2 linked regions of the Caenorhabditis elegans genome follow. The protein of the gene in region 1 interacts with the protein of each later gene in a pairwise test. Each region holds a gene or a part of one and is shown on either strand. Other genes may lie near its edges. The genes, in order: unc-34 and sut-1.

Region 1 (5,192 bases):
TGTCCAAAAAATAGTGCTGCACCCCATTTTCTATTGAAAAAGTCACTTGACAGTTTCGATATTTTTGGGTATTTTTTGTATATTTTTGATGATTTTTTGATAATTTATGGGGTTATTCAAGTAGTGTCGGAAAATTAAAAATTGTAGAAAAATGAGCAAAAAAATTATACGTTTTCTGATGTGTTTCTGATGAAAACTAAACATAAATTTTATACAATGTTATGATGCTTCGTTTTTCCGGAAAATCGATAATTTTTTATTTTCGATTTTTATCTCTGGTTAGGTTTTTTTATATCTTGGGATTTTTGTCGTGTGAAAGCTATATTTGAAAAACGCACGATGCATCTGTTGATAATCACTAATTCCATTCATATCATGAACTTTCAACGTCTCAATCGCCTGTAACACAATGCTTAAAAACATTGTCGCATCCTGTTCATTCTCGAAATTCAGCCCATACACCCGCCGCTGTTCGGTACGCCATTGATGAAACATTGGTGTGGCCTTGTGATATTTGATTCCTCGATAAATATTACAATTCAAGATATTCGTGCTGTCAGCGCGGTTGGATACAATCCGAAACTCGGGTCGCCGAATGTCTTGGATTAGGCGAACATTTGTCATTGAATCATCATTTCCGCCGAGTAGTACCCATCCTTTTGTCGATTCGTTGTAGGTCATCACTCGGGCCATTGCCGTCGCGATACATGCTTCGCTACTGGAAAATTTGAATTTTTTGGTGGGAAAAAATGAAACTAAGTTCTGAGAATGCGTATTACACAACATATTTGACGCGCAAAAAATCTCGTACCGAAAACCACAGTAATTTTTTTAATTACTACTGTAGCGCTTGTGTCGATTTACGGGCTCGAAACTAATTGATTTATCGAACCGAGCTCGTATATCGACACAAAAACTACGCATTCTCCGAATTTCGTGCACATGTAATATGATTGCACTAAAAATCATTTTTTCAAAATATACTTGTTTCAAAAATGACAAGAAAAAGTTGGTTTTTTTTCGGTGGCCGGAAATCGAAAATGTTTGGCAATTCGACTAATATCGAGGTAAAAAGTGTGAAAAAGTAATTTCTATCATCATAGTAAATGCGGTTTTTGTGGAATTGTAACTTTTTTCACTCGCAATTTAATAATATGACATTCTCAGGGAATTTGAGAATATTTTCGATAATTCGAAAGTTGGCGAAATTGAAGAAGGTAAAAAATGAGATTTTTGTCATCTTTTAAAAAAGGTTCGGATCAACTTTTTGCACAAGTTGCGAATTTTGAGCTCTTTCAGATGTAATAGAACCGACCACTTATATATGCGAACCTACTAGATTTTCGAAACTTTAAATAATGGTATCTGATTAAAGGTGGTGTTGCAGACGAAATTTGTTATTGCTTTATTAGACTCAAAATTGTTTGAAAACACCGAATTTTATAATGAAACTTCTCAAAAAAAAGTTATGGCGGCTTGAAAAGTGACCTAAAATTAGTTGAAATTCGAAATTTGACTTGTCACAGCGACTGGAAACTAACTTTTTCGAAATCACCTTCAAATTTTGAGTATGCAATTCAATTATCTTGCATTTTCAACTTCATTTAGGTATAATAAAGTCGGGAGTTTTCCAAAATATTGTTTCCAGCCGCTGCGGCATTTTTCAAATTTCAAATTTCAACTAATTTTAGGTCATTTTTCGAGCGGTCATAACTTTTTTTTTGGAGAAGTTTTCAAGAAGTTTCATTTAAAAAATCGGTGTTTTCAAACAAACATTTGAGTCTAATAAAGCAATAAAAAAAAATCGACTACACCACTTTACAAAAAAAATCCAATCACTCTCTAAATTTCCACTCAATTTTTATTGTTTCTCATTTCATTTAATTTTAGTCTCGTCCCTCTCTCGGAGGTCGAGCCGGACATGATAAGTGGCAGCAATTGGCACGGGCTCTTTTCACTGCTCATCCAGTTCTCTTCCTTCTGCTGGACACTAGGTATTTGTGCAAATAGGAACACACAGCATCACCTCACACACACACAAAAAAAACATTAGAGAGCTTCAGTGTCAACATTACAGTCAGACGCTGTGAATCAGTCAAAAAATGGATTTTTGCTGGGTGGTAGATCGCGGAGACACGGGGGTTCTGGCCTTGCTCATTGAATTTTTCGCGCTACATTGACAATCGTCCGCCGGACAACGCGTGGAAAAGTGTCGTGTACTCCACACGGACAAATACATTTAGCTTTACAACTAAAATCGAGCCGCAACGAGACACGCAACGCGCCGTAAATCTACCCCAGATATGGCCGAGCCAAAATGGCCTAGTTCGGAAAACTCTTCCATTTCAATTTATGAGGGAAGCCAGAAATCCGTGCGGAGAGTAGCGTGAATGAAAATTTCGCTTCAAAAAACCCCAAAATAGTCTCAAACTGAATTCCCTTCAAAATGAGAACAGCGACCAATCAGCGAACCGCTCCGCCCACTTTTGAACCAATCAGAATGCTTGTAGCTACTGATTGGTTAGAAAGTGGGCGGTGCGAATCGCTGATTGGTCGTTGGTTTCATTTTGAAGGGAATTCTGCTAAAAACAGTTTTTTTTCAATTGTCTGCATTCAAAGGAGCATTCCTATTAGGTCCCAGCACGAAAAAATTGGCAAATAAATTTTATAACTCGTGTACTCCCCGAGGAGCATGCAAATTTTTTTCTGAAAAAAAATGCTCCTCTGTGTCGATTTACGGAGCTCGTGTACTCCACGAGGAGAATATCGATTTTTGAAAATTTTTTTTACACTCAATTCGCGATTTTATCAATAACTCATAGTATTTTGTTCAAAATTTTTATAATTTTATGCTGAAAACAACGAAAATACGTGAAAACGATCAAAATTTAGCGAAAATGGTCAAAAATCAAGTATTTTAGCGCCAAAAACTGGCCTAAAACATAAAATTCACACTTTTCCTCGGGAAGTACACGAGCTGCGTAAATCGACACAAGCTCGTGGCCGAACTTTTGCAATTTTTAGGCCAATTTTTTGGTTTTTTTTTTCAATTTTTTTTCAAATTTTCCCATAAAAAGTTCCCCATCTCCATAGTCATTATTACCTCATTCTGGCTCAAAAAAGTGCAATCTAATCTCCTTTTGCTCTTTTTGCTCAAAAAAGTGCACTTTTACGGCAGATTTTGTGTCTTGTCAACAGCAGCAGCAACAGCAATCGGTCAGTGTTTCACGCATTCGAAATGCAACGGCAAAAATTTTGAAGTTTTTTGGTGGAGGTTTGGCTGAAAAATGAGAATGTGAGAAGGGAAAAAACAGAAAAATATGCATTTTTTATGACGAAAAAAAGAACGAGATTTATAGGGAAAAATGTTCGGGGAGGGGAAAAAATCGATTTTTCAGAAAATTGAATTTTCGATTTTCTGGAAAACCTTGGAAAAATCGTTTAAACTTTTTATTAAATTTTGTTCATTTTGATCTCTAAAAAGAGGAAAAAAGAGGAAAATGGACAAATTTGAAGCTATTTTTCGAGAAATCTAGTTTTTTTTTCAAAATTTCAGAAAATCGGAGAAAACATTTGTTAAAGAATTTTTGAATTTTTTTCAAAAAGCGGGAAATTTTTTTTTAGAAAATTTTTAAAAAAATCAATTTAAAAAAAATCGATTTTTAAGATTTTTAGGATAATCGAGAAATTTTTTTTGGAATTATTTGAAAAAAAATCGAAAAATTATCGATTTTTCGTTGGTCGGAATTAATGATTTTTTTCTAGAATTGGGAAAAATTTTGTTTTAAAAAAGTTTTTTTGTATTTTTTTTTTACAGATTTTGCAAATATTTTTTCAGCAAAGTGTGATATCGATTTTTTTAAAAAGAAATTTCTGAAAATCGAAAAAATATATTTTTTGAACAATTTTTTTTCAAAAATTGAGAAATTTTGGTTTTTTCAAACACTTTTTGACACCTAAAAATCCGTAAAAAATTATTTTCAAAATTTGGTAAAATTTTTGAAAAAAAAAGTGCTGTTTTTGCTTTGAGCTCAAAAGTGTGCAATGAATCAAAAATTACTTTTTTGATTCAAATTTTTGGTATTTTTGTAGGTTTTTTTCATTAAAAAAATATTGCCCATCAATGGAAAACATTGTAAAAATTTGCCAAATTCGTTTATAATTGAAAAACTAAATAATTATTTTTGATTGAACTCATGATTTTTGTTTTAATTTTCAAACAAAAAAAACTGTGAAAACCCCGCGAAAAAAATGGAAAATGCTCTAATAACTGTGCAAACAGAAAACACAAAAATATCAAAATTCATTGTCTGTTGTGCCGGCCATCGTTACAGTGAGAAACCCGAGAGAGAGAAAGAGTTTCCGAGTGGGAACAAAAAATGGGGAAGGGGTGAGAGTGACGAAACACAGGCTGATGGAGACCGTTTCCGGAAACGAGTTGCACGGGGGGGGGATCATGGTTTTTTAAACAACAATAAAAGGTAGTTTCTTAAATTAAAACTTCTAAGGAAATCGCTTCGAGACACAAGAGATTAGATTTCGAATTGTCATAAAAAAGTGAATGACTCATTGTCGTCGTCGTCTCACTTTCTGTATGACGAACAAAGTGCAAACATGCAGTGTGTTCAATATACATTTGCGTGGGCAATATATTTATTCAAATTTTTAAGTTTGAAAAAAACACTGTAGTTTAAAGGCGCACGAAGACACGAAATGGCCGAAAAAGCCCAGGAAGTTTTGAGTTGAAAACCCCTATAATTTCGTTTTTCAGCTATGTAGAAAAATGTTTTGATTTTTCAAAAAGTATCTTAAAATTTTTGTTTTTTTGTTTTTTCATCGACATGAACAAAAATTCAATTTGTTGAAAAAATTCAATTTTCTGAACTTTTTTTTTCCGATTTCTTGATTTCCCCCCCCCCCCCCCCCCCCCCCCTGAAACAAAAAACGATACATCGAAAAATGGCCCCATTAGTCTGAAACTGAGAATGCGTATTGTACAACACATTTTACGCGAAAATCGTGTTGTCACGTGGTGTCAGAGTGTCTCATTTCGGTGTGATCTACGTAGATCTACAAAAAATGCGGGAGAAGAGACGCAGAGTTCTCAACTGATTTTGCATGGTTAAGAACGTGCTGACGTCACATTTTTCGGGCGAAAATTCCCGCATTTTTTGTAGATCAAAACGTGATGG
Region 2 (5,002 bases), on another chromosome or scaffold:
TTTTTAGGTAAAAATCGCGGGAAAAAACACGAAAATCTCAAATTTTTTGCGTAAAAATTGGTAAAAAATCACTAAAAAACGAACATTACACAGAGTGACGTCATAGCCATACCATTTGTATGATGACGTGGCAAATGTGGGGTCGGCAAGCACATTAATCAGTGAGCCAATGCTGACTTTTTCGAGAATATTCGAGTGGCAAGACGTCGAATCAAAGTAGATCGATTCGGAATTTTGCAGGAAATTCGCTTCCATAAAATGATTTTTCATAATTTTTGTGATGACAGCGGCGCCGGATCGGCCCGGCGAATTTCGGCACTTTTCAATGACGAAAAATGGGATTTTATCGACGTTTCCGTGGATTTCGACGCGGAATGGTACTGCCGCCAGGATAACGTCCACCATTCGATTCGTGTTCTCTCGGTGTCTCTGGAAAATTTGAATTTTTGGTGAAAATCCGCTTTTTTAGCCCAAAAATTCAAATTTCCCGCCGACCGCAAGCTGTAAATGCGCTCTATTGCAAATTTTGCATCGGAGCGCATCTGCAGCATGCGATCCGCGGGAAATTTGAAATTTCAGGTTTAAAACTGATATTTTGAACGAAAAAAGTGAATTTTGAGTAGAGATATTCTGTGTAAAGTAGTATTCTGACGGGAAATTTGAATTTTTGAGTTAAATTCTATCAATTTCAACCCAAAAATTCGAATTTCTCGCTGACCGCAAGCTGCAAATGCGCGCTAATGCAAAATTTGCATTGGAGCGCACTCGCAGCACGCGGTGGGTGGGAAATGTTTTTTTAAGTGGAGAATGCACGTTTTTCAGCCAAAATTAAATTTTTCTTCGAAGAAAATTGTTTTTAAAAAAATTTTTCAATGAAAAATCTAATTTTCGGCAATAATTTATTTAAAATTCACTTTTTCAATTAAAAATTCAAAGGCAAAACCCCGTTTTTTTCGCAATTTTCTCAATAGAGCACATTTTTTCCGTTGGAAAATTCAAATTCCCGTACATCTTTAATCTCGAATTCGGTGCGTCCAATGCTATGCGCCTTTAAGGTCTCGTAGCGAATAACAGGCGAGCAGTTCGGATGGAAAGCTACAGTAATATTTCGTTCGGTGACTCCAATTGCGACGCCAGCAGTCGACGGGGAGTTGAATGTGACGAAAACCTGCTCGCGGAGCATTGCACAACCTGAAAATTTGAATTTCTCATGATTTGTTCGGTGGAGCGAGCTTGCAGCATCCGGTCGGCGGGAAATTCAAATTTTTAGGTTATAAACTTGAATTTTCACCGAATTTTCGAATTTGCAAGTGTTTCAGGGTGAATTTTGGCGGGAAATTCGAATTTCCGGGTCAAACTTACACTTATAAACCTCCATTTTCTCGATTTGCACTATAATATGATTCCCGCGGACCACCCGTTCGAAGCTCCGGCTCCAGAAGATCTGAACGACGGATCCCACACCGATTGGGTCGAAATTTGACGGATATTGTATACACGTGGCTTTTGAGAAGATAAAATGAATGCCGGAATCCTGAAAATTGCGAGTTTTTAAATTTTTTGCAAAAAAAAAATTGGAAAATCATGGTTTTTTTTTCGATTTTTAACTGTTTTTTCGTCGTGTTTTTAAGGCAATTTTTGCGATTTTTATCAATAATTTGCATATTTTAGGACTCCAAATATCGATTTTCCCTGGAAATTCCCTTACATCAAACGCCTCCTGCGTAATAACCTCTCCGGTACCATTCGAATAGCATATTATGACACCAGACGAGCTTGAATCTGAATTTACAAGCTTTAAAATCAAATTTGGCACTAAAAACTCACAATTTGCGCCTTCAAACTGGTCTTCTTGCTCGATTAAATTGAGTTTTGACTCGGATTCGTGCGATTTCACCCGTAATGGTCGACTATTTACAAGAACGGGTTGCATACCTGAAGAAAAATCGGATTTTTAGGAATTTTTATTGATTTTAACAGAAAAAATCAGAAAAAACGGGAGAAAATGAATAAAAATAGCGAAAAAATCAGCGAAATTAATTCAAAAAATCGTGGTGGCCGAGTCTAAAGTCAAAATGGCCTAGAAAACCCCTCCTCGGCCACCATTTATTTTTTTGAAAAAAATTGTTTTTTATCGATTTTCGCCAGTTTTCCGTCGATTTTCTCCATTTTTTCTCATAAAATCTATAGAAAGTTATTTAAATTTCAGATAATTATGTCGGGAGCCTCGAAAAAAGTGAGTTTTTATCGTTTTTCAAGGATTTTTCGCAGAAAATCGATTTTTCTCTATTTCCAGGTATCAGAGGAAGAGTTGCAGAAGCAATACGCAGACTATCGAGCTCAATTCGAGCAGTGGAAGGAGAATAATAAGTGGGAAACTCGAGTTTCGGGGAAAAATTGCAAATTTGGATGATTTTCAGGGGTTCCATTGGCACGGAGGCTTATAATTCGTATGTACAGCAATTCGAGCAGTGGGAGAAAGAAGTGGAGGCGAGAACGTCACAGGTTCGTAAAAAAAACCTAAAAATTATAGAAAAATCTGGAAAAAAGACAATTTTTGACCCAAAAATGCTGAATTTACTTTAAAATGTTCAATTTTCAGCAACAAAAGCACCGAAAAGCGGCGGCAGTTGACAAGGAGGCAGAAGCGGCGGCGGCCGCCTACGCACAATCACAAGAAGCCTACATGGCACATCATTTGAGAGGAATGGAGCAGACGGAAATGCAGAAAAGAGCCGCTGCTGCAGCTCAGCTCCAGCAGCAACAAATGATGCAGAATATGATGATGCAGAGACCGCCACGTACGGTTTTTAACCGGAAAATTTGAATTTTTCGCTGAAATTTGCATTAGAGCGCATTTGGAACAGCCGAAATTCAAAATTCCGTAAAAATTTGACTTTTTCGCCGATATTTGCATTGGAGCGCCCTTGAAACACGGAGAAATTCAAAATTTTGTAAAAATTTGATTTTTCCACCAAAATTCGCATTGGAGCGCACTTGGAACATTCAATATTTCAAAATTTTATGAAAAGTTGAATTTTGAACCGAAAATCTCAGTTTTCCGCTACAATTCACACTAGAGCACATTTGCAGCACCGAAAAGTTCAATTTTTACGAAAAAATCGAATTTCCCGCTGAAATTAGCATTAGAGCGCACTTGAATCACTCGGAAATTCAAACTTTTGTTAAAATATAAACTTCCGCCTAAAATTTGCATTAGAGCGCACTTTAGACACTAGAAAATTCAAGAATTCTGTGAAAATTTAAATTATTATTTGAAATTTGCATTGGAGCGCACTTGAAACACTTGAAAATTCGAAATTTTGTGAAAATTTGAATTTTTCACCAAAATTCGCATTAGAGCGCACTTGAAACACTTGAAATTTCAAAACTTTAGAAAAATTTTGAATTTTCCGTTAAAATTTGTATTGTAGCGCATTTTAGACACTAGAAAATTCGAATTTCTCGCTAAAATTCGCATTAGAGCTGATTTGCAACACCGACAAATTCAATTTTTAGGAAAAATTCGAATTTACCGCCAAAATTCGCATTAGAGCGCACTTGAAACACTCAAAAATTCAAAATTGCCAAAAAATTCAAATTTCCCTCTAAAATTCGCATCAGAGCGCACTTGAAACACTCAAAAATTCAAATTTTTACCAGCAGAACACCAGCAACCACCGCCACAAGACGTGATGTTCGGAGCCGTAGGACGTGTAGCTCAGGGAGCTCCAGCCGCCGCACCACCGCCCACGCAACAACCACCACCACAACTATGGGGAAACAATAAGCCGATCTACGATGCGCGGGACCCACTTTTTGCGAAATGGGGTGAACGAGCGGCGTCGGCACACTGCAAACCGGAGACCGAGCAGCAAATTGTAGGGAATTTTTGGAAAATCCTGGAAAATCTGAAAAATAGCCCGAAAATATCTGAAAATCCCGAGAAAATGGCGTTTTTGAGGTGTTTTTGCCTATTAAAACACGAATTTTGACCCGTTTTTGACATTTTTTCTCAAAAAATGCGTTATTTTCCCCCAAAAGTTCAAAATTCCCGTTAAAATTCAAATTTTAGCCAGAAATTTGAATTTCCTAGCTAATGCAAATACGCTCTACTGATAATCTGTGACTTGTGTGCCTTTATCCTCATTGATGGCTAGAATATCGGTATTCTCGGCTGAAACATGCAATAAATACCGTATTCCAACCAACAATTTGTGCAATAGAGCACATTTGTCACTGGGGATGCGGAAGCTATGCCCAAATTTTGAATTTTTCAGAACCCGGTCGCCTGTTGGCTCCTTCTAGATGCTCTCCGCGAGAAGAAAATGGTCCTGGCTCCGCACTCGAACACGTGTCCTCCTCCACAAATCGGTGGACATCAAATTTGATAAATTTTGTACAATTAAATAAAAATATTTTTTTTTCACTTTTAATGAATTTTCAACAAATTCCACCGTTTTTTTTTTCGTTTTTTGGGGAGTTGATAGGCGTGTAGGCATGTAGGTAGGCTTGAGGTAGGCACGAGACAGGTGTGTAGGCAAAAATTTAGAGAATAGGCATGTATGCAGATAGGTAGGCATGATGTAGTTGTGTAGGCATCAGGTAAGAGTGTAGGCACGTTGGTTAGCATTAGGTAGGAGTGTATGCAGATATGTAGACATGATGTTAGCATGTAGGTATGAGGTAAAAGTGTAGGCGCGTAGGCAGGTATGCTGTAGGTAGGCAGGTAGGCGTGTAGGCATAAGCTAAGAGTGTAGGCACGTAGGTAGGGATGAGGTAGGTACGTCGGTTAGCATGAGAGAGGCATGTAGGCACGTAGGCACGTGACAGAGTAAGGATATTATAATTGAATCAAGGTGATGCTCTTTTTTTAGTAAAAGTGTGCACTTTTGGATTTTTAGGTAAAGCCATGTTTAGAAATTCATAAAAAAAAATTTCTGTCATTGCGTGGAATCGAACCCCAGACCCATTTCGTACCAGTCAGCCCTCTTACCAGTTG

The links.
Region 2: the proteins of unc-34 (region 1) and sut-1 interact in a two-hybrid assay, tested with the Caenorhabditis elegans proteins (one study listed by BioGRID).

What each region holds. Positions count from the first base shown.
Region 1 is NC_003283.11:980,622-985,813, reverse strand, and holds the start of unc-34 (WH1 domain-containing protein), read right to left. Parts: upstream 3,109-5,192; coding exon 3,104-3,108; intron 3,004-3,103; exon of another isoform or gene 2,908-3,003; intron 719-2,907; coding exon 339-718; intron 1-338.
Region 2 is NC_003280.10:1,120,467-1,125,468, reverse strand, and holds sut-1 (SUppressor of Tau pathology), read left to right. Parts: upstream 1-2,203; 5' UTR 2,204-2,215; coding exon 2,216-2,236; intron 2,237-2,296; coding exon 2,297-2,370; intron 2,371-2,420; coding exon 2,421-2,505; intron 2,506-2,602; coding exon 2,603-2,801; intron 2,802-3,663; coding exon 3,664-3,881; intron 3,882-4,280; coding exon 4,281-4,391; 3' UTR 4,392-4,456; downstream 4,457-5,002. Other genes in the region: eri-3 (Reverse transcriptase domain-containing protein), read right to left, coding at 85-429, 1,010-1,191, 1,363-1,534, 1,709-1,782, 1,828-1,933.